Canis lupus familiaris: one gene and its partners. The protein of the gene in region 2 purifies or fractionates together with the protein of the main gene of each other region. This does not show direct contact. Links are inferred from orthologs where the notes say so. Each region holds a gene or a part of one and is shown on either strand. Other genes may lie near its edges.

The links.
Region 1: the proteins of TULP3 (region 2) and KBTBD7 purify together in Homo sapiens (affinity purification with mass spectrometry; 3 studies listed by BioGRID and IntAct, counting the BioPlex papers as one, with this or other methods). This does not show direct contact. The link is inferred for Canis lupus familiaris from reciprocal best matches to the Homo sapiens genes TULP3 and KBTBD7.
Region 3: the proteins of TULP3 (region 2) and WDR35 purify together in Homo sapiens (affinity purification with mass spectrometry; 5 studies listed by BioGRID and IntAct, counting the BioPlex papers as one, with this or other methods). This does not show direct contact. The link is inferred for Canis lupus familiaris from reciprocal best matches to the Homo sapiens genes TULP3 and WDR35.
Region 4: the proteins of TULP3 (region 2) and WDR19 purify together in Homo sapiens (affinity purification with mass spectrometry; 5 studies listed by BioGRID and IntAct, counting the BioPlex papers as one, with this or other methods). This does not show direct contact. The link is inferred for Canis lupus familiaris from reciprocal best matches to the Homo sapiens genes TULP3 and WDR19.
Region 5: the proteins of TULP3 (region 2) and SIRT1 purify together in Homo sapiens (affinity purification with mass spectrometry; 5 studies listed by BioGRID and IntAct, counting the BioPlex papers as one, with this or other methods). This does not show direct contact. The link is inferred for Canis lupus familiaris from reciprocal best matches to the Homo sapiens genes TULP3 and SIRT1.
Region 6: the proteins of TULP3 (region 2) and IFT140 purify together in Homo sapiens (affinity purification with mass spectrometry; 5 studies listed by BioGRID and IntAct, counting the BioPlex papers as one, with this or other methods). This does not show direct contact. The link is inferred for Canis lupus familiaris from reciprocal best matches to the Homo sapiens genes TULP3 and IFT140.

Annotation. Positions count from the first base shown.
Region 1 is NC_049243.1:9,372,580-9,376,797, reverse strand, and holds the start of KBTBD7 (kelch repeat and BTB domain-containing protein 7), read right to left. Parts: upstream 2,801-4,218; 5' UTR 2,518-2,800; coding exon 478-2,517; 3' UTR 1-477. UniProt on the Homo sapiens protein: As part of the CUL3(KBTBD6/7) E3 ubiquitin ligase complex functions as a substrate adapter for the RAC1 guanine exchange factor (GEF) TIAM1, mediating its 'Lys-48' ubiquitination and proteasomal degradation.
Region 2 is NC_049248.1:4,204,786-4,208,285, reverse strand, and holds part of TULP3 (tubby-related protein 3), read right to left. Parts: intron 2,921-3,500; coding exon 2,744-2,920; intron 1-2,743. UniProt on the Homo sapiens protein: Negative regulator of the Shh signaling transduction pathway: recruited to primary cilia via association with the IFT complex A (IFT-A) and is required for recruitment of G protein-coupled receptor GPR161 to cilia, a promoter of PKA-dependent basal repression machinery in Shh signaling.
Region 3 is NC_049238.1:15,071,694-15,075,872, forward strand, and holds the start of WDR35 (WD repeat-containing protein 35), read right to left. Parts: upstream 2,801-4,179; 5' UTR 2,636-2,800; coding exon 2,612-2,635; intron 1,927-2,611; coding exon 1,809-1,926; intron 20-1,808; coding exon 1-19. UniProt on the Homo sapiens protein: As a component of the IFT complex A (IFT-A), a complex required for retrograde ciliary transport and entry into cilia of G protein-coupled receptors (GPCRs), it is involved in ciliogenesis and ciliary protein trafficking.
Region 4 is NC_049224.1:73,797,448-73,801,606, forward strand, and holds the start of WDR19 (WD repeat-containing protein 19), read right to left. Parts: upstream 2,801-4,159; 5' UTR 2,784-2,800; coding exon 2,664-2,783; intron 4-2,663; coding exon 1-3. UniProt on the Homo sapiens protein: As component of the IFT complex A (IFT-A), a complex required for retrograde ciliary transport and entry into cilia of G protein-coupled receptors (GPCRs), it is involved in cilia function and/or assembly.
Region 5 is NC_049225.1:19,904,939-19,908,438, reverse strand, and holds part of SIRT1 (NAD-dependent protein deacetylase sirtuin-1), read right to left. Parts: intron 2,294-3,500; coding exon 2,052-2,293; intron 1-2,051. UniProt on the Homo sapiens protein: NAD-dependent protein deacetylase that links transcriptional regulation directly to intracellular energetics and participates in the coordination of several separated cellular functions such as cell cycle, response to DNA damage, metabolism, apoptosis and autophagy.
Region 6 is NC_049227.1:39,705,970-39,709,469, reverse strand, and holds part of IFT140 (intraflagellar transport protein 140 homolog), read right to left. Parts: intron 2,959-3,500; 5' UTR 2,928-2,958; coding exon 2,781-2,927; intron 1-2,780. UniProt on the Homo sapiens protein: Component of the IFT complex A (IFT-A), a complex required for retrograde ciliary transport and entry into cilia of G protein-coupled receptors (GPCRs).

The DNA of each region.
Region 1 (4,218 bases), on a different chromosome or scaffold from region 2:
GGAAATCTACTACTTTCATTATTCTAAAAGAAAATACAACCTTCAAAACCCTACCAACAATTTCTAGTTCAATTTTCTACTATAAAAATTAAAAAGTTAAATTCCTTGTGGCACTAAGTTGAATTAAAACGTTAACAGAAGACAAACGTAGATAATCAAAATATAAACAGTGTAAACTAACCAAAACAATCCACTGGTGCAACAAATACTCGAACAACCAAGAAACCACCAAGCATTCTAATCAGTTACATAGTTTGTTTTTGCATATTTTAATCTTGACTTTTAGCATAATAAATTATCATATAGGTTGATTTCATGGACTGTTTAACTTTGTAACATTACATTAGTAATTCAAATGTTACCCTTTCTAAACCAAATCTGCAGTCCTAATCAACATTTTTTTTTTCATGAAAAGGAAGGGATATCTTTTAAAGATACATTCCATAGAAGTAGAAACATCTTAGTGCTTCAAAATATTTACAAAGAACCCTGATGATCCTGTGCATTTCCCTGAGGTGCCACCTGCACCCAGACTTCATCATCGGAAAAAGAACTTGAACTTCCTGACTCCGAGTCCAGCTCACTGAATCCATCTAAGTCCCATTCAGTACTAGACTCACTCCGTGCATCATCTTCCTCAGTGATAAAACTCTGTCCAGGTTCAAGGCAGGAAGGATAAACACGAGCACAGAGGCAAATAAAGCCAGAGTCAAACTGCAAAAGACCTAACATGGTACCTATATTAATCCACTGGTCTTCCCTAGTATCGTATTCATAAACAGTCACCCGGTTTTTTTTCCACTGAGGGGTGGTAGAAGTAATGAGGAGCAACTTTTGGCCATGATTGACAATCTGGTAGTTGTGGGTCTCTGAGTCCAAGGGGATATTACTAATCCGCCTCCATTCTCCCCTGGCTGGGTTGTAGACCTTCATGACCGGGATGTCGCAGATACAGTAGATCTCATCATTGAAGACACAGGCTTCCTGAAAGTCACTACGTTTAAGAGAAGCACAGTTCAGCCATGTATTGTGGCCCGGGTCATAGTAGAGCATGCGCTTACTGTTCACAGCATAAAGATAGTTCTGAACCACTATTAGTTCAAACGAATAGAAGGAATGGGGTACAGGAGCCACCAGTGCCCACTGGTTTCTCTGGACACTGTAGCACTCCACTTCCTTCAGTTTAACACCGGTAATGGGGTCTCGCCCACCCAAAATGTAGATGTAGCCATTGAGGTAGGCCACATCCATGCCCTCCCGGCACAGCAGGCGGTCGGCCAGCTGCTGCCAACTATTCTGGGCTGGCTTGTACACCCAGAGGTCCTTCCTGGGCTGCGCGGCCAGGTAGATGTCATGGTCTGGAGAGACGCAGACAGCTGAGGAAGTGACAGTCTTGGTGTGAGCCAAGCTGGTTAAAGGGGATGGCATGGTGTAAATGTCCCCTGAGTATGGGTCGTAGCACAGAAAGGGATCTCGGGGATGTCCAAAGAAGATCACCATCTCCTTGGCACACATACCCAGCCTCTGGGGTGGGTTTTCTGCTGTGGGCACAACACAGCTGCTGCTGCTATCTGGTTTGGGCACCAGAGCCTTGCACAGCTTGTCACCATAGCGCATCTGCAGGGCCCCCTCGATAAGGTCCAGACAGTACTTTTTCACAATGGGCTTGGTCAGCAGCCCCTCCAGGTAATCCTGATCCTCTTCTCTGAAGTGTGTCCAGCGGACACACTTGAAGACTTCCGCAGCGCTGGGTCCGCGCTCCTTGGGAGCCGCCTCCAGCCACTGCACGGCCACGTGACACACGGTCCGCTCGCTCTCGATGTCTAGACTATCCAGGCGCAGGATGGACAGCAGCTGGGCCAAGCTCAGATCCGCCAGGCTCTCCTCCCTTACTGAGCCCATCCGGCTGAGCTGCCTGAAATTGTGGGCTATGAAGGACTGGGCCTGGGATCGCAGCTTATGATGGTCGAAGGCGTCGGCGAACTTGAGGATGGCGGTGCAGTTGGCCAGGTCGAGGCGGCGGGCCAGGAAGGAGGCGCAGGCCTCCCGCACGTACTCGAGCTGCAGCATGTCGGAGGCCGCGTACAGGCGCTGCACGTTGGCCTCGCTCAGCGACACGCGGCCCGTGTAGCAGTAGTCGACCAGCACCTCGAAGGACTCGGCGTCCACGTCGTGCATGGTCACGTTCGCCTGGTGGCTCTCGTACATGCCGCCCGTGAACATGCTCTTGAAGTAGGGACACGCGGCCGCCAGCACGTTCCGGTTGCAGGGGAAGAGGCGGCCGGTGCCGGGCCCGCTGCCGGGCGTCACCACCTCGATGGTCACGTCGCACAGCAGCCGCGCGTCGTAGAAGGACTTGAGCTGCGCCAGGAGGGCTGCGGAGTGAGCCGCGTCCTTCAGCTCCTCCGGGCCCGTGAAGAAAGCCGAGACCGAGGGCTTGGAGATCCTCTTGGGCCGCCTGCCGCCGCGGGGACTGGCCAGGCGGCGGGGGCGCGGAGCCTCTTCCCGGGACTGCATGGTGGAGATGGCGGCGGGGTACGAGGGCGAGAACGGGTGCACGGACCGGGCGCGGGCTCCTCCTCGCCCTCTCCTCGCCTTCTCCCTGAAGAGACTGCAGGGGCCGCACTTACCCAACTCAGCCCCGCGCCGCGGTGCCGCCTCCCTTTATCGCGTAGCCAGCGCCTGACTCACCCGCTTCCAGTTCCGCGCCCTTTTCTCCGCCTCAGCTCGCCTTACAGAACCCGGCTGGACGGAACCGAGAGAGCCGCCACTGCCGCGCTGGCAATACCGGTAGGCGTCCAGCGGAACTACGGCTCCCAGGCTGCCTTTCGCGCCCCGAGGCATGCCGGGGCCCCTCCAGACTCCAGGGGATCGGCGGGCGGGCCGGAGCCGCTGTGCACGCTGGGAGTGGTAGTTCGAGGAATATCGCGAGGTTTCTCCGGGCGGGCGGACTTTTAGCTGACAGAATTCGAAAAAGCGTTAATCTGGGTTTGTTGGTTTTAGAGCTTTGGCTTTGATGTTCTTTTTTATTTAAAAAAAAAAAAAATCTCCGTTTTGGTATTGGTCTTCTCTCTGAGAACTTTCCCCTCTTTGTAAAGCGGGGGATACGAGTTTTCATAGGATTATGTGAGAGTGGGAGCGAGGTGGATTTGCGCAGGTCCCAGGATGCTTCAGCGAATACCTGCTGATTAATCACATGCTTGCAAGTGCCTGGAATATACAGATTCAGCCACTGGTGGCGTCTCCCAATGCGTTTTTAAAAATGTGCCCGCGTGCGAAGCCGTGAGCGATTTGTGTGAGGAATCTTAATTTTACTGTTGCTTCTTTTGAAGGGTTCTTCTGAAGGCTACCACCATCTTTTCAGAACTAAATGAGATCCACAGGTTCGTTAGGGTGTCGTGGACAAGGATGAGGTCCTGGCGAACAGCGTTGAGAGGTGGCCTCCGACGTGCGGCTCAGGCCTCCGACGTGCGGCTCAGGCCTCTGACATACAGCTCAGGCCTCTAACAGGCAGCTCAGGCACATGCATAGCTGGGCTGACCTCTCACCAAATCAATATTTACGCAGGGGGAGCAGGATTACTTTCATAAGCTTTTTTTTCTTTTTTTTTAAATTAAGATTTTTATTTACTTATTAGAGAGAGAATGCACAAGCAGGGGAGTGACAGGCAGAGGGGGAGGGAGATTACAGGCTCCCTGCTGATAGGGCCGGATCCCAGGACCCCGGGCAGGCGCCTAACCGGCTGAGCCACCCAGAAGCCCTTTCGTAACCTTTTAGCAGGAATGTTTTGGTCTAATACTGCTCGTTTCCCTTCCTCTCCACAAATCAGCCTAAGATTATGTAGTTATCTTTATCAAGGAGATAAAAACGGGAGTTGTAGATTAAAAGATTTAAACAAACAGACCTCAGAGCTCTGTATTCATGCATGCCCCAGTTTTTTTTTTTTTGTTTTTGTTTTTTTTTTTAAGATTTTATTTATTCATGAGACACACACACACAGAGAGAAGCAGGCTCCATGCAGGAAGCCCAATGTAGGACTCAATCCTGGGTCTCCAGGATCAGGCCCTGGGCCAAAGGCAGCGCTAAACTGCTGAGCCCCCTGGGTTATCCAGTATTTTTTTTTTAAGATTTTATTTATTTATTCATGATAGACATAGAGACACAGGCAGAGGGAGAAGCAGGCTCCATGCAGGGAGCCCGACGCGGGACTCGATCCTG
Region 2 (3,500 bases):
CCTGTTTCTCTGTGTTAGAAAAGTCAGCTGTGTCTTCTGTTCTTGAAGGTAATGGCTTTATCAAGAAGATATGTTACAGTGCCCTGCAGTATAGTGTCCCGTTTCTCAAGGCCTGGTGTTTCCAGGAATGTCTCCAATATGTGCTGCATGTGCTCTGCAATTGTGTCCTGTCTGCTTTATCCTTCAGGAGAGTCATCTGCAGAGGTTCTCTTTGCCTGTTATTGGCAGTGTTTAGTCCCTGGCCTGAATGTGGCATGTTTTAATTAGGTCTGCTCTGGTCTGTTTGTGAAATGAGACCTGTTACCACTGCCAATGGAACTGGGGCCTCACGCTTCCAGGTCAGGAGACAAAACATGGGCAGGGGTTTGGCCTGGGGGAGGGATTTGGAGAGGGGACTACCCACTTCAGGGACTGAGGCATGCATAACTAGGAAGGGTGAGCAGATCCAAGGGTGGAGTGGGGCTTGGTGTAAGCAAGTTAGGTAGTGAGTGTCAGTGTTGCACTGGTTCTCACAGGTGGCTATGTGCCTATGCTAAGGAGCAGGGGAGGGAAATGGCACCTGCCAGTTTCTTTGTTCCTGGAGGGGTGTCTCCATGAATGCTCTCTCTCTGGGAAATGCTCCAAGATGAGCAACTAACCTTCCCACTGTGTGCCCTGGGCACTCTTCAGATCGTTTCTACGCTGTATGTGCAAAGGTCGTTTGCCTGCCTTTTCTCTAGGAACTGCGTGGTGCCCTCCAAGCTCTCCTTGAGCAAAGCCCACTGACCTTCAGAACACCAAGCTTTAAGCCCCGATGCTCGCAAGAACTCATGAAATCCAGCCCCTCTCACTTTCCAAGCCAATTGCTATAGGGACTCTAGTACTATATGTGCACTCCCCTGCGTGAGTCTGTCTCTTGCCCTTCTCCATGACTGCACCTCCCTCCCTACCACAGCAGCCCTGATCCACTTTTCTCCCAAACCACGTCTCCATGCTTCCTGCCTTCTTCAATGCGGCCTCTTCTCTACCTTTAGTTGTGGAGTATGTTCTGCCAGTCTTCAGGTCAACAGGGTATTCAGGATGATTTGCTAGTTATGTAGTTGTACTCGTAGGGCGAGGTGAATCCAGGGTCCTCCTACTCTGTTGCCATCTTCACCTCCTACACCCACTGTCCACTTTAAACTATAATAAAGCTATTATTTAAAAAATTCTTTGTTTTTTTTTTCTTTTGCTTTCTATGTTAACAGAAAAAAATGTTAACCTTCTGTGCTTTTGTAGCAAAAAGGCATAAAACTTCACAATCATGTGGATATTTTCACTTAGTACTGTTTGCAAATGCCATTTTTATACAAAGAACTCAGCTTATGTGAATATATGTCTTAAGATGGAAATCAAAGATTTCTCCCAAACTTGTAGAAAAAACAAATCGGACCCACTTAAGGGACATAATCTACCAAACTGCTACATTGTAGATCTTAATCATAGGTTCCTGTTACTCTTCAAGTAAAGTCCAAATTTCCAGTATGGCCTATATTTGACTATATAATCAGAGCCTACTTATCCCTCCAGGCTCCCCTCTCTAATCCATCTTTTTACCTCATCCCCTCACACTGTGTGCTCCAGCCATTCTGAACTGGTGAGCTCCTCCTCCTGTATCAGGCTCTAGCTTGGATATCACTTTCTCTGGAAAGCTTTCCAAACCTTCAGCTCTAGATTAGGTACCTCTCTTGACACTCTCGTCTATTTAAGTATGTGATTCTTCCATTAGAGTAAACACTTCAGGAGGGCTGGAACCCACTGTAGCCTAAGTGCCTATAACTCCCCAATATATAGTACAGCCTCAGTACCTAGTGAATTTGTTTGAAAGTATATCTGTTCTGCATTCTGTGGTAGAATCTCCCGATTCACACATCCCAGGACCTACAATGCCAGCCTATTACAAAGTAGGCACCCAATAAATACTTATTCATGACTGGATTTCAGTCTTCTCATCTGAAAAGGGAACACTTAATTCCTTCCCACTATAAAATTATTTTTCTTTTTAAAAAATATTTTACTTATTTATTCATGAGAGACACAGAGAGAGAGGCAGAGACATAGACAGAGGGAGAAGCAGGCTCCCTGCGGGAAGCCTGATGCGAGAATTGATCCCCGCACCCAGGGATCACACCCTGAGCCAAAGGCAGACGCTCAACCACTGAGCCACTCAGGTGTCCCAAAATTATTTTTCTAAGAAGGAAAGAAAACTACAAGAGATCCCTAAAATACATAGGAATATCTGTGGAAATGATAACTCCAACTGGCAGAAAGTAAGCTCTAGTGAAAAAAGTATTAGCTTAAGTATATTTTGATATAATGTGTGTTTCTGTTCAGCCACTACTTATCTTTCCCCTTATCACTAGATCAATATAAACTGTGAAATGGAGGCCAAGTAGGGGTGTTGACTGGCAACTTTGTCAAAAGAAGGGAGTGGGAACTAAAAATGTCAAAAAGAAATAGCCACATATAGTAACTAATGTTGCTGATAATTTATATGTAATTATCTTATTTTTCTCAGGCAACAGAGTAAATACTACCATAGTTGACAATGGTCAATTCTCAGATGTCAAAGATGCCTAATCTGTCTCACCTCTGTAAAGCCATAAGCCACATTTCAAGCAATTTTGAATCATCTAGATTGTTAACTGACAATGAAAGAAAGGAAAAGAAAAGATTATACATGGCTAAGATGATTAACTGCCTTACAATCATTACCAATCCTCACCATGTTTTTGGAGAATCTCCTGGAGATCTGGCTTGGACACAGTATCCAAAGTGCCTTCTCCATCAACACTTCCTTCGGTATCCTCTTCCACAGCAGAAGAGTCTACTGAGACAACATGAAGTTTGGTTTCCAAATCTTGAGCATCTGGCTTCAAGAAGGCAGCTGGACCATCAATGCCTAGGGTCCAAAAGAAAGGAAAAAAGAGGAAAGTATTATCTGTTATTTGGCTGGGTGGTTCTGGTGTATATGATTAGAATTAAGAACCAAAAAGCATTTCACTTCTTCCTTAATATCCACATGGACATTTGTCAATAGAGGAACTCAGGACTGGTGTTCATTTTATTAACATGTTCTGACTGTTACCAAATAAAATGTACTTGATGTTATACTTTAGAAACCAAAGAATGAGATCATGAAAACAAAGTAGGCCCCTCAAAGTTCAGATCCTGTCCAAGTCCACAGCTCACCACTTCATGTGGTCCAATGAGTCCTATCTATTGGAAGAATGGGTGCTCTCTACTACTCTTGGCATCATGGCTTACTCTGTCATGATGCAACAATCAAGACTGTATGTTCCTCAAATAGGCCCTTCTGGACTAATTCATTTGGCAATGAAAACAACAGTTTTAGGATGGACACATACTGCAAGGTACCTTCCACTGATCAAACCGTTGCTTTTATTTTAACTCAAAGACCCAGAAGATTTACGAAGGTACCTAGTAATGATGCTAATATTGTCCCTCTGGTCCATCTGAGA
Region 3 (4,179 bases), on a different chromosome or scaffold from region 2:
CCCCTCAATTTTGCATCATCTAGAAAAAAAGATATAGTATGGCAAATATATTAAATAAGACTTATTAATTATAAGACTTGACATTTCTTGCTTATTTTGAAAGGAGTTTCTATTCCTGGATGATATTAGAAAGTTTTTTTTAAGTATGCCTCATTCTGATCTATATTTCTCATGGTAGAAACATGGACAATAATATGTGCCCCCTTATAAAGATATTATTCTGACAATATAAAGCAAAATATATTTTTAAAAAAGCATTGTTTACCCAGTATGTTAAATATATTAGTAATTATTATTGCTACTTATTCTTTCCTAAAAGATCACAAATAGAAATATTTATGACATATAGACTGAAAATTCTAAAGCATAAGAGGGATCAGAAAGCAAAGACTTTGGAAATTGGTTTTTACTATATTTTGCAGAATCTTTTATTCATTAGTTCATTCACTGAATGTCTACATTGTACCATGCACTGTGGAGGCTTCTGAATATAAAATGATACACAAAATATTAAGGCCTCTCCCTTCAGAGAGTTTGCAGTCTACTGAGGGAATAGATATTTAACACACATTCATCTCCTCCCATAAATATATATGCATATATATGCATATATGTAAAATTAAAAATTGAGGAAGTAAAGGCATAATAAAGAGATAGTAACAGAGGGAGATTAATTTAGATTAGAGGGAGGGAGAACTAGGGAAGACTTTCTAAAGAAATTATGTTTAAACTGAGACTGAGGGATCCCTGGGTGGCGCAGCGGTTTGGCGCCTGCCTTTGGCCCAGGGCGCGATCCTGGAGACCCGGGATCGAATCCCACATCAGGCTCCCGGTGCATGGAGCCTGCTTCTCCCTCTGCCTGTGTCTCTGCCTCTCTCTTTCTCTCTGTGACTATCATAAATAAATAAAAATTTTAAAAAAATTTAAAAATAAATAAACTGAGACTGATGAATAAATTGGAAATAGCCAAGTGAGGTGGGGAAAAGATGGGGAAAAGATGGAGAAAGGGAGGGTAGTCCAGGCTCAAAAATAGCAAGTGCAAAGGCTCTGGGGCTGCAGTGTAGAGCTTTTGAATCCAAAATGGAATTTAGTTAGGCCCTTTATCTTACAGAAGAGTGCACTTAAACCCAAAGACATTCACCAACTTTCTGAAAGTCATTCAGCATGGCAGAGCTGAGATCCCCACTCCAATCTCATCTAGATCTCCAACGTAGATGGAGGATTGTTTAGCTCTCCATTCTAGAGCAACACTACAGATGCTAAAGGAAATGTGAAACTGTTTGCTATGATTCCAAAGAACTAAAAAAAAGAGAAATCAAGCTGCAATCACAAGAAATGTATTGATAAAAAATACTTTTAGAAGTCTCGTTTTCTGTTCTTGGGAACTAGGTGAATAATTATTAACACACCTGAGAACCAGAAAGGATGATCCAGGCCTGCAAATAATCTGACAAAATGTGAGATTCTGTGACCTTACCAAAATGCGAATTCACATCATTTTTATTAAGACTCCAAATAATAGGGCACAGTAAACAGACAGAGCAAAAGGCAACATAGTGATTTAGTTCTCATTCTTCATTCTTTTCCATCAGTAACTTCAGAAAAAGCCATCTGATTTTTACATTTTACTTTCTCTGAACTAACTTACTGCCAAAACACCACTAAACGTTTGGGAGCTTTGTTTTTTTTTCTCGTTTCAAAAGAATTAAAATCGCATAGTGACAAACTCCGTGAGCAAATCTCACTGAACAAATGATAACTAGCCAATTTTCCACCAGGTTCAAACACTTGGGCTTGCATTCATTTACCTGTCTGGGTCTCTAATTTCAAAACTTTCAGTAATCCGTCTTCACCACCACATGCTATGAATCCTTGGTCCTTGTTCCAAGACACACATTTCAGCTTCACGTTATTGGGAATGGCAATCTGAAAAGCAACCACAGCCACTTGCACAGCTTTCCGCGAAGGAGCTGGTTAGCGAGTTACAGGTGAAGGCTGAAGAAAATCCACCGCCCCACCCCCACCCCACCCTCCACTGCCCCCCAGAAGAAAAAAAAGCGTAAGCTGTTCTGAAAAGGGCCATGGCACGATCCCTCGGCCCTGCCTGGCGCCCTACCATTTGGGAAAGAGAGAGGGAAGTGCACAGAGTTAGGGCATTGATTGCGGAGGAACATGGGGGGGGGGGGCACCTGATGAATTTTTTACGGGAAAGAAGGGAAGGAGGAGGTATAAACCCAGACCATCGGTCCATATTCCCTTTCCACACGCCAACACCTGGGCTACCCTCTTATAATTACTTTTCTCTCCGGATGAGACTCCGAAGACTTTACGTCACCTGGACAACACAATAGGTGGAGGAAGAGAGAGAGAGCCACGCAGCGACCTGCAGGGCTGGCGGGGGCAGGGATGGGAGAGCGGGGCCGGAGGGCTGAGGGCTCCGCCGACAACGATCCGGGGTCGGGACCGTCCGAGGCTGGACGACGCAGGAGGGTGGAAGGCGGGAAAAGGCGAAGCCGGCATCAGGACGCCAGATCCCGCCCGCAGGGTGCGGGAGTCGCCCGCGGGTCGCCAGAGCCAAGGGGAAGCGAGGGCCCCCGCGGGGAAAACTCACTTTCTTGCTCAGGTAAAAGAACATTCTGGGAACTCCGAGAGGACGAGCCCAACCGTCCGGGCCCGCCAAAGGAAACCTGGACTAATAGTTCTCCAGGCGCGAGGACCAGCCGCCCCGGGGAGCGCCCGTCGCCCTGGCAACCACAGCCGCCCGGCGCATCCGGGGCGCCGAGGGACACTTCCGGCTTCGGCCTCGCGGCGCCGGACGTGGTGCGCCTGCGCGGACGACGTGGGGCGGGGGCGGGGGGCCTGGGGGAGCTGCAGCTGCGCGCTGGTCCTGCGCGGGGCTGAGCGGCTGGGCCCGGTGGGGGAGCCTCGGCGCCGCGCCTCGTCGCCGCCGCTGTCCGCCCTGCAGGAGCTCGGAGGACGCGGCGCACCTCCGACCGCCACAGTGCAGCTCGCCTGCGGGGTCGGTATCCGCTCGGGAGCGGGCGCCCGGTGAGATGAGGTCACAAGGGTCACACGGTTGGGGGTTCTCTGGGGTGAGCCCCAGAGCCCCAGCGTGTTGCAGGGAAAGGTCATTCATGTGTTCGATGGGCTGGGGCTGGGGCTGGGGCTGGCGCCGGCTGAAGCAAAGCGCGGGCCTTCCCTCTACGCCTTTGGGGACCGGGAACCCCCTGGCATTTCGGGGGCAGGAGATGGGTGTTCATTCTGCTTGCTTTAGGACTTTTTAACAGCTTATAAGCTATGACTGCAGCCCGGTGGTTCATGTAAAAGGAATGTGTATGAGCTTTGGGCCTTTGCGGCTTGTAATTGCCACTGAAGCCCAGCCTGCCGGTTTTTGAGTCCATTAAGTGTGCTTGGTATTTTCTCGCCTGGGGCCTACTGTTCTCTGTTCTCTTCTTTTTCTACCTTAATTCTTTTCCTCGTTGTCCCTTGTCCTTTTGGAATGTTTGGAGAGTTACAAAGCCCCACAATTTGGGCACAGGGCAGAAAGGCCCATGCAATTATTTAGCCTAGCTCATCTTTTCATTTCTGTCTGATTTCTTTTTTCTTTTTTTTTCTTTTTTCTTTTTTTTACCGTATTCTGCGGCTACTGCTGTTGTATAATCTGGCTGGCACTTGATGCAGCAGCAGCGACTGCTAATTCTCCCATGTAGTCTTTCCACATTTCAGATTAAGTACTGTTCAGATCCTTTGAAGTGAGTCTGTTGACTAACCCAGCACAGTCAAGGATTGCCTAGGGTCAGGTGCCTTTCCCGTCACATCTGAACCCCCAGCTTAGGGGCCCTCAGGCGGCTCCATGGTTGAGTCTGCCTTTGGCTCAGGTCTGGTCCTGGGGTCCCTGCAGGGAGCCTGGTTCTCCCTCTGCCTATGTCTCTGTGTGTGTGTCTCTCATAAATAGATTAAAAAAAAAAAAAAAAACAGCTAAATGAGATTTTCCATCAATAGGGAAATGCCTTTACTGTGGTGCCCTCACTCTAAGCAAGCCAATATGCTTTCTGCCTCCAAGGCCATTTTATGTCCTGTGATGATCCTACCCTCTCTGCCATTTGTGCCTCGCCAAATGTACAAATCGGGTCTCCCTGAGAAATTATTTCCAAACTTAACCCCCATTCCGTTCAGATA
Region 4 (4,159 bases), on a different chromosome or scaffold from region 2:
ACGCTAAAAAGATAAATATTTTTATATTTTCAAAACATACAATTAAGGGTTGGTCAAAGATATCAAACATGATCATGAAAACAGTAAGATTCAGATGTTAAAGGCTTACTGTTAGAGCTTATCCAGAAAAAGTCAACAATGTAACAGACAAAATAATCAGATCAACCAACCAACCAACGAACTTCTACAATCTGGTTGTTAAAGTATGGACCTCAACACATAGGCAAGCATTTATTATAAAGTTTTGGTTTAAAATGTTTTTGAGGGACACCTGGGTGGCTCAGCGGTTGAGCATCTGCCTTTGGTTCAGGGCATGATCCTGGGGTCCTGGGATGAAGTCCCACATCGGGCTTCCTGTGTGGAGCCTACTTCTCCCTTTCCATCTACCTGTGTCTCTGCCTCTCTGTGTGTGTCTCTCATGAATAAACAAATAAAATCTCAAAAAAAAAAAAAAAAAACTTAACCATGATAAAAATACAAACTGTCCTTCATTCAAAATTATTTTCTACCTTTACCCACTAGTTATATTTACTTAATCATTAAGTGCTCACTTTGACTACTGGGTGGTGGTTGACTGATGGTCAACTCAAAAGCCTTTCTTTTCACTCATACAGTCAAGAACTGGGGTACCCAATATAAAAGCCACAAAACACAGGTGGACTTGATTTTATTGAGGGCTTGAAATGTAGGTAGTCCAAATTAGAAGTGTTGTAAATATAGAATAGATACCCATTTCAAGGACTATGAAAAATGTAAACTATCTCATTGATAATTTTTTGTTGATTACATATTGAGATAATATTTTTAATATACTGGATAAAATAAAATATATTATTTAAATTAATCTTACCTGTTTATTTTATTTATTTATTTTTAAAGATTTTATGTATTTATTCATGAGAGACAGGCAAGAAATAGGCAGGAGAAGCAGGCTCCCTGCCAGGAGGAGCCTGATGGGGGACTCAAGCCCAAGATCCTGGGATCTGCCCTGAGCCACCTATGCATCCCTGTTGGTTTTAAAACATTTTAAGATGGCCACTAAAAATTTTAAATTACATTCGCTCACAGTACATTTATATCAAACAATACTGATCCAAAACAATTACGAATACAGAGCTTGAATAAGAGAATTTAATTTTAATATTAGGTTAAATTATAAACAATTAGGTTAAATCATAGACCACAGCTAGGCATATGAAGTTCACATACTACTACAGGTGGCTTGACAATCAGAGTGGCCATACAAAACTCATTCAATGCTTAAAATTAAATACCAAGGTGTCAGGCTCCTGATTTCTGCTCAGATCATGGTCTGAGGGTCCTGAAATTGAGCCCTGCACTCGGCTGGGAAAGTGCTTGAGATTCTTTCCTCCTCTCCCTTTGCACCCATGTTCTCACTCTCTGTCTTAAAAAATATAAATAAATGTATATATATAATTTTAAAATTAAATACCAATCATTAGTCGTTTGGTATGTTAAGGAGATGAAATCCACCTCTATTGGAAACAGAAGTGTATTATAATTACAAGTCCATCCACGTTTCGTGGAGCTTGAAAACACCTTGGGAAAAAAAGGTGTGACCTTTGTGACCAAGTGACCCTGGAACCCCTTCCTGCAAGTGAGGGATCCTTAAACTTCAATTTGACTAGCTTCCGGGTAGACCTCTTCTGGCTGTGATCGTACATCTTAGTTTTCTTCATATACAGTATAGTGCTCCATATACAGTAGACTGAAAAAGCGCTAGCTTCAACACCAGAAAACCAAGGTCTGAATTGTACTTTTTAACTTATGATCAGCTGTAGGGCTTAAAACAAGTCGCTTAAGTTGCCTCAAGCACAAAATTTTCAGTTGCGAACCAAGAGGAATGCCTCCTCCGTGCTGACAACTTCAGAAATCGTGAAAGGCTTTAGAAATGTGAAGTTATGATCGATTACCAGCCTGTCAATTCCAATTTCCACGCTAAGAGCCACAAGGAATCTTCAATTTAAAATTGAACTATCCATTTCTTTGCCAGATCGGGGCGGAGGGCTAAGGCAGTGGTAAAGCAGGGGGGCGAGGGCGCTGTAGCCCAGGGGCCGGGGATGGGGTTCGCCCGAAGCCCAAGCGCAGGAACTGTGCGTGCAGAGGATGATGCTCTCCAGCAGGACCCGCGTGTGCAGGCGCAGATTTCCCCGCGAATTACATCCACGAGCCACTGCGTGATTTGTACATTAGTCACCGGCGATACACTCTGACATTCTTCTTTCGGAAGCTCTTCACTCTTTTTAAACGCTGAGCGGTTGCGCGGCTTGCCAGGGGTTCAGCTGCTTGCGGGGGCCGAGCTTCCCAGCATACCGGTCTCCCCGCCGTGGGTAGTTCGGGGTCTTTTCCGACCCGGTCTGCTCCTTTCGGGCCGTGCCCGGGTTCCCTCCGCCCGCCCCGCTTCAACTCCGTTCGCGGTCCCAGAAATGAGGCCTCCCCTCTCCGCGTTCCCCTCCTCCTTCCTTCAACTTCGCCCCCCCCCCCCCGCCCCAGGTCACCCAGCTCTCTTCGCCATTCCTAGCCCCCCTCGGGAGGAGGGAGGGGGACACAGGCCCCCTCTCCTCAATGTGACGCTCAGCGGGCCCAGCGCCTGTGGTCGCGTTTCCCCGCCGCGCCGGCCCCGGGGTTTGTAAGTTATTTACCTTCATCTCAAGGCTAGAGCGGCCGCGCGATCCGGAAAGTGCGCAGGCGCGGAGAGTCAGCTCCAGGAGGGCTAACGCGTTCCCGTCACCCAGGAGACCGCGCGAGCAGTGACCAATCATGGAGCTCTACCCGGGGGGGCGGAGCCTCGTGGGGCCTCCGCAGGGGCGGACGGGAGGCGTGGACTGGAGTCACGTGACACGCGCGGAGGCGGGCCCCAAATGGTTGTGCGTCAGGAGCTCCGGCCCACCCTCCCTTCCTTCTTGGGCTCTGATTGGACGAGGCCGGGGACGCCCTTAGGACGTCCTGCGTCAACTTCTGCTCCCGGTGCCGAAGTTGTCGATGGCGGCGGGCGGGGGCGCCCGGATTCCAGGCAACGAAAAGGCCCTGAATGTTGCAAGAACCGAGAACGGGGATTTGCTCTTGGGCCAGATACTCGTGCAGAGTACGCGCAGGGAGGACTTGGGCGGGCCTGCGCGTCATCTCTCTCTCTCCTTTCCTTCCCAGGCTTCTGGGCTAGAAGACACAGGATGTGAGAAGTAGTCTTTTTCAAGGCGTTAATAGGCCAACTAAATTGGGCAAGAAAAATGAGCACTGATTGCTTCTCTGTTTAGACTTCGGACCTGGCAGCTTTTCCCCAAATATTATGCCCTGCCATAGATTTGTGCTTCGTTCGTTATGAAAGTACTTCTTTTGCCCAAGTGCCCACCCTTTTTTCTTATCAGCATTAGGTAGGAATCGTATTTGCTTCAAGAAAATGGTTTCAAGGAACTAATGATGGATGTTACCGTTCTTAAGGAGGATACTGTTCCCTTGGCGTCGGGTTTTGTTTAGTTAGTTTAGTTTCAGGTGCAAGACCTGCCCATTATTATTATTATTATTTTTAAGACCTGCCCATTAAAATGAAAATATCATTACTAGGGGATTGAGTGAAAGAGAAAAAGGTTAGAGAAGTAGAAATTCAGAAATTGGCCATCCACTATTTAAAGGAGTGAATGGGACTTTCTAGCTTTAGGGAATGTAAGGGAGACAAAATTTTACCCTCTTAGGGTTTTTCAGCTCGGCCTGAGAATTAGACTAACCTAAGACAGATTAAGGAAGAAAAGCCTACAAATACGTGTTCCTTTTCCTAAGGAAAAGACCCAAAGAAATGACACCTGCGTGCATGCATGCTTTTATATTTGGCTGAACAAAGAGACGCGACTGTGGGAAAGCAACTATAAACTATGGTGAGGAGAAAAAAAAATAATTATGTCAATAAGTTCCGTTTGTATAGACTCTTCAATTTCAGCGTCTCCTTGATGGTAAGAATGCCATTTCTTATGGTACAGGGAGGGTATCTTTCACATGGGAGTTTTTAATCCCCGTTTTCAGGAAGAAAAGAAGATTAGTCTTTTGCATCTGCTATTTTTTAGGTACCGTTAGCTCAAAATAATCCTTATGTCAAAGTAGCTTATTTTGGAGTGGGATATTTTGCCACTCTTCAAGGGAAGTCTAC
Region 5 (3,500 bases), on a different chromosome or scaffold from region 2:
AAAAATATTTTGCTTTAAAACTTGAGGGAACAAAAATACTGCCCTACTCCAATTTATTTTTTTTTTCCCTACTTTAATTTCAAATTCAAATATAACAAACACCAAAAAGCAGTATAATGAAATCCACCATATTTTCCAATCATAATGGGGTAAGGAATTTTAAGTCAGGCTAATTTTTTTTCTGGCTAATTTTAAACCTTTAAGCATTTAATCAATGAATGAAAGCAACTGCAATTTGAGGGATCCCTGGGTGGCGCAGCGGTTTGGCGCCTGCCTTTGGCCCAGGGCGCGATCCTGGAATCCCACATCGGGCTCCCGGTGCATGGAGCCTGCTTCTCCCTCTGCCTGTGTCTCTGCCTCTCTCTCTCTGTGACTATCATAAATAAAAAAAATTAAAAAAAAAAGCAACAGCAATTTGAGAACAGAGTAAATAAATCATTTCAAATTATTTTAACTACAAAGCAGGCAAGATTCTCTATCAGTCACATATTTGCAAAAACAAAAATGTCATCTGGTCAGGGTTCTACTACTTCAAGAATATTAAATTCCTGTATTTTCTTTAAAAACTCTATTGTACAATAATTTTTTTAATATTCTATTTATTTATTCATGAGAGACACAGAGAGGCAGAGACTCAGGCAGAGGGAGAAGCAGGAGGCTCCATGCAGGGAGCCCAATGTGGGACCCGATCCCCAAACTCCAGGAGCCGTGAGCCAAAGGTAGATGCTGGAACGCTGAGCCACCCAGACGTCCCCAGTATTTTAATTTTCTTTTTTTTTAGTATTTTAATTCTTAACTGACATTTCAAATAGGAATTTCAGAAGTCAACTAACTTATTGTTTCACAATTTTATCAGTTGACTCCACTCTGACCTCAGATAAAACTAATTTGACTAAATCACATCTGTGAACAAGGCAGAACTATTCTTGACAATCATTTATGATTAAATAGCACTCTGCCTTAACTCAAAATGGCAAAATGCAGGACTGAATTTTACTCCAACAATCACCCTAGGTCACTAACACGTAACATATTCTGTATTCAACACACAATGGCCCTAGGTAGCTAAGTACAAACCCAAAGTGAGGCCAATGCCCACACATCAAGCCACCATATTCACATCACCTTAAATTAAAATGGGGGGGGGGGGGGGTGAGCAGCCCTGGCAGCTCAGAGGTTTAGCGCTACCTTCAGCCCAGGGCCTGATCCTGGAGAGACCCAGGATCGAGTCCCACATCAGGCTCCCTGCATGGAGCCTGCTTCTCCCTCTGCCTGTGTCTCTGCCTCTCTCTCTCTCTCTTCTCTGGGTCTCTCATGAATAAATAAATAAAACCTTTAAAAAATAAACAATAAAATAAAATATAAAATATAAAATATAATAAAAAATAAAATAAAATAAAATAAAATAAAATAAAATAAAATAAAATAAAATAAAATAAAATAAGGGGGGGGGGCAGCCCGGGTGGCTCAGCGATTTAGCGCCTGCCTTCAGCCCAGGGTGGGATGCTGGAGACCTGGGATCGAGTCCCACGTCGGGCTCCCTGCATGGAGCCTGCTTCTCCCTCTGCCTGTGTCTCTCATGAGTAAATAAATAAAATTTAAAAAAAAAAAAAAAATGGAGAGGAGGCAGGAACCTGTTGCCTTCCCAACTTAAGTTATTTACTTGTGAACACTAATTAGGTTCCTGGTTTCCCCCAGAAAGATGGAACAAAGACCCAATTTTTCCAGCAGACCCTGATCCAGTTTATGCAAACCGAATTACCTGCATCTCCTTTAGGAGCTGTAGCAGAATACTATAAGTAAAAAACCCTTTCCTAACTCCATGTACTGTTAACAAACAAATACTTCCTAAGTTTATTGGAGAAGTTTTTAAAGAAATGAACCAATTTAACAACTGCTGCAGCACTTTTCATGGTTTCCAAATGCAAATTCCCATTATCATGTTAGGATAAATTCTTCTAACCAAAAAATGTTTCTGACTTGGAAAAGGCTAAGAAAAAAATCACACACCACCTCACCCTTTTACTAGTGTTTTATTACATCTTACATACCCCAGCTCCAGTTAGAACTATTATTTTTTTGCACTCTTGCAGTAATTTCACAGCATCTTCAATTGTATTAATATCTTTTCTTTTCTTCCTTTTTGGTGGTTCTGAAAGGATATTAATAACAATCTGCCACAGTGTCATATCATCCAATTCAGGTGGAGGAATTGTTTCTGGTAGTAAATCTTTAAGAATTGTTCGTGGATCTGTGCCAATCATGAGATGTTGCTGAACAAAAGTATATGGACCTACATAAGAGAGAAAAGAATTAGATCTAATCCACCTTTAAGTCATTCAAAAATCTCATTTTCTAAAGTAATGAATTAGCAATCTTTAAAGTTTTTTTGCAAGGAAAATGAAATATATAGGTATTTAGTTTTTTTAGAGCTAGTGACTACTCTCTCCCAAGGAAATTAAGGAGATCAAGAGTTGTACCTGCTCTTAGAGCTCTTAAATCCAGCCTCTTTTCTCCTGTTTCTAAAAATAAAACTATAATTTACTCTTCAGATCATTTAATATTTTCTTTCAAAAAAATATTTGTCATGTGATACTTAAAAACTTAGTATGTTAAGTTGATTTGGGTCAAAAGACTACAACACCAATTATTCAAATACTGGTAATAATCATCTTCATTTACTAAGTACTTAATTAATGTCTGGAAGTGTCAGTTATTAATTCACATAAGTCTTCCCTGAAATATGAAAAAACGATCACGTACCCTATACCTTTGCTCTAATCACTTAATTTTGGTAGGCTTTTTTTAACATTCCATCAAAATTTCTACTTAATCTGGTCTATTGCAAATAACAGCTTTATAGCTGCCTTTCTAATAGATTCCTTTTGTTTTTGTCTATTGTAATATTTAGAACCTCTAGTACAATATTGAATAAAATAAGAGAAAAAAACCTACCAGAATTAAATTTCTATGGCTAAGATCTAGAATACACACTAATAACAGTGTGTACAAAATAGTTCTACAAATCAGTTTTACCAATCAATAAAGGAAAAGGTACCAGTCCCAAAAAGCCCACAGGAAATCTATACATAATCACTTTTTAAATTTTTCCAGTAACAATCTTTTTTTTTTAATCTTTTTTTTTCCAGTAACAATCTTTAATTTGATCTTAACCAATCTCCCAAAATGGCATACCGATGTTTTGAATATTAATAATTTTTACCCTGAAATTTCTTAGTTTCCTAGTTTCAGAAAACCAAAAATAGAGTGAACATTACAGACACTAAGGAGGAACTAATCACCACTGTTTAAAGAGTCAAGGTACTTTTAAAAGAAGAAGAGCACATTAAGAAAAAGACCATTCTCAAAAAAAAAAAAAGAAAAAGAAAGAGACCATTTTCAATATGATCATGTTATAACTTTGGTATAAAAATCTCATGGTGTTCTCTACTTCAAAACACTTTCCCATTTCAACAACATACTTAATATTGAGCACAAAC
Region 6 (3,500 bases), on a different chromosome or scaffold from region 2:
ACAGGGAGCCTACTTCTCCCTCTGCCTGTGTCCCTGCATCTCTGTGTCTCTCATGAATAAATAAATAAAATCTTTTTTTTTTTAAAAAGGGGTCCAATTCTTGGTTTTGGCTCAGGTCAGGATCTCAGGGTAGTGAGATCAAGCCTTGCATTGGGCTCCACGCTCAGTGGAGAGGCTGGTGGGGATTCCCTCTCCCTCTCCCTCATCCCCTCCTGCTCATTCTCCCCTCCCCAGTACATAAATAAATCTTAAAGAAAAAAAAAAAAAGAAAAAAGGAAAAAGATGTGTTGAAGTCCTAACCTGGTGCCAGTGACCTGACCCTACTCGGAAAGAGTCTCTGTAGGGGATCAGGTTAAGAAGAGATCATTAGGATGGGCCCAAACCCGATGGCTCGCGTCCTTATCAGGAGAGGAAAGGGAGAGGGACACACAGGGGAGACACATGGGACCACAGAGGCCATGGGGTGATGCAGGTACCAGCTGAGGACTTCTGAGGAGAGCCGGCTGCCACAAGAATCCAGGACAAGGCCTGGCACCCGTCCTCCCCAAGGGCCTTCAGAGACCGCGTGGCCCTGACTTACTTCAGACTTCTGGCTTCCAGAATGGCAAGGCCATACTTGTGTCTTAAGCTACCCGCCTTGTGGTAATTTGTTACGGCAGCCACAGGATGCCAGGAGTTTCCAATGGCCAGTGTGGCCAACAGGACTGGACCAGGGTGCACAGACAGCACAGAGGGGCTGTTTCTGGTTAGGGGCGGGGACTGATCGTGGAATCTATTTTACGTCCCTAAATATGGCCCCAAGGCTAAGGAGCAGGGCTGAAACAATTATCTACATCACAGCACTCTTTTTTTTTTTTTTTTTTATAGGACTCATAATACTGAGACTCTACCTCAGGAAGCAGTGATACACATAACACACACATGCACCAAGTACCACACATGCACCACACGTACCACATTCACACCACACGTATACACGTATACCACGTATTACATACCATACACACCACATATATATATACCACATACCACACATGCAGACACACCACACTCAGTCCACATATATACACACCACACGCCACATATGCAACACACACTATATACCACACATGCACCACACACACCACATACCTACACATGTACCACATAACATACACACCTCATACCACACATGCACCACATACCACGTACTACATACACCATACATACAGACCACACACACGTATGCAATATACACATACACCACATGCGGACACACATGATATATACCACACACATCACATACCCCTTAGTGTACACACATATAACACACAGCACATACACCACATACCATACATATGACATGTCACACACATCACAGCCCCCGCATAGACACCATATACAACAGGATGCACCCATCACATACTACAAATTGTAGCATACATAAACACCACACACATCACATACCCATCACACGACACACATACCACATGCATACACACTACATACCACACACATACCACACATTTCCCTCACATGACATACAGAACATATACCACTCACACCACACATACATCAAGTACCATAGACACCACACAACATGCACATACCACATTACACCACATACCACACATGAAACACACACCCCATCTACTCACACATACAAGCACCACATACCACATACTATACACACTACACCTATCATATACCACACACAACACATGTATGTCATACACCAGATGCCACACATGGCACACACACACAACAAATACACATGAAAGACATACCATATGCCACACAACCACATACCACATGTATACCACACAGTCACATACCAGACACATGACACAACATATACACACCAAAATCATGTGACAGACACATCACATACAAACAAACCACATGTACCACATGCTACATACACACCACACACATATACATCACACAACACACGAACACCACATACGTACATACTATACCACATGTGACACATACCACTGTCCACACCACACATGTACATACCACATACCCACCACATACGTACTCACCACATACCCATTATATACATACTTACCATATGACACACATACCACGCACACCACATACCCCCACATATGCATACTACATACCACACACATCACATATCACACACGTCCCCCACACCACACATATACACACCACACATATACACACCACCACACCATATACCACACACATACCACATATCATACCTGACACACACATCATATTACCACATATACTACCCGACACATACCACATCCCACATACATGGCACATACTACCTACCACAGACACCACATAACACAGACCATATGCACATATATCACACACATACACACCACATAACACACGTATGATACATAACACATACACCACAAATACCACATACAACACACAGGACACATACACAGCACTACATACATCACATACCCCTCACTCTATACACATTACATACCACAAGCTCCACATACCACACACGTACCCTACCACACATGACACACACCACACATATACCACATACTACACACCACACACAGGCACACACATACAATATATCCTCTCCATGGCACACATGACATATACATCACACACATGCATGGATGTACCCCACACACAAGGCACACACAACACGCACACAACCCATACTGCAATACTCTATACTCATGTACATACTCCCCACATGACACACACCACACAATGCACATGCACACACGGGAGAACAAAATGAACATAAGAGCCAGAAGCCCCAGAAGTCAGAAACATGGCTTCCTAGGACTCACTTGTTCCAGATATATATCCACGCTGCCTCCTGCAATCCTGCTGACGGAGGCAACCGCCAGGAATGGATGAACAGGGTGCCAATGGATGTGGGAAGGAGACTCGACAGAGTCTGGGGCTTCTATTGGGTGGTCAAAGTAGAGGGCCATGATGAAACTCGGATCTAGTCAGGGCTGAAACCTGCAGGGAAGAAAACAGCTAAGTCCTGTTGCTTTTGAACAATAAGAAATGACTGTACATAGAATTAGGAAAGAGAAGCATCACAAACCTACCATCATAACACACTGCAACTTACAAATGCCCCTTAAGACCATGTGGAAGAGATCTCTAACAGGGTTAAAAATGTATAATTAGAATCAAGAAATTTGACCTGAATGATGCAGGGTGTGATGGAAAAGAATAAAACACTGCCATCAAAATAGTAAGAAAAAGTCTAGTCACCTAGTCCACTAGGTTTACCTAGTGCATAAACCTTGATTATTCATTCCAGTCATAATAAAGACAATTTGCATTTCTATAGCTGACCTTCAAGCAAAAATTTCACACCAAGCAGAAGCAAAACTGATTCACAGAAATACATAGGAAAAGCTAGGATTCAATTCGTGAAAACCAAAGCCTATCTACTACCTCTGGCTCTCAGATGGTAGAAGGCAACAGGGTTCCTTTGTTAGAAAATCAAGAAAACAAAGCCGTGGCACTTGTAGGAAAGCTGAACTTGATTA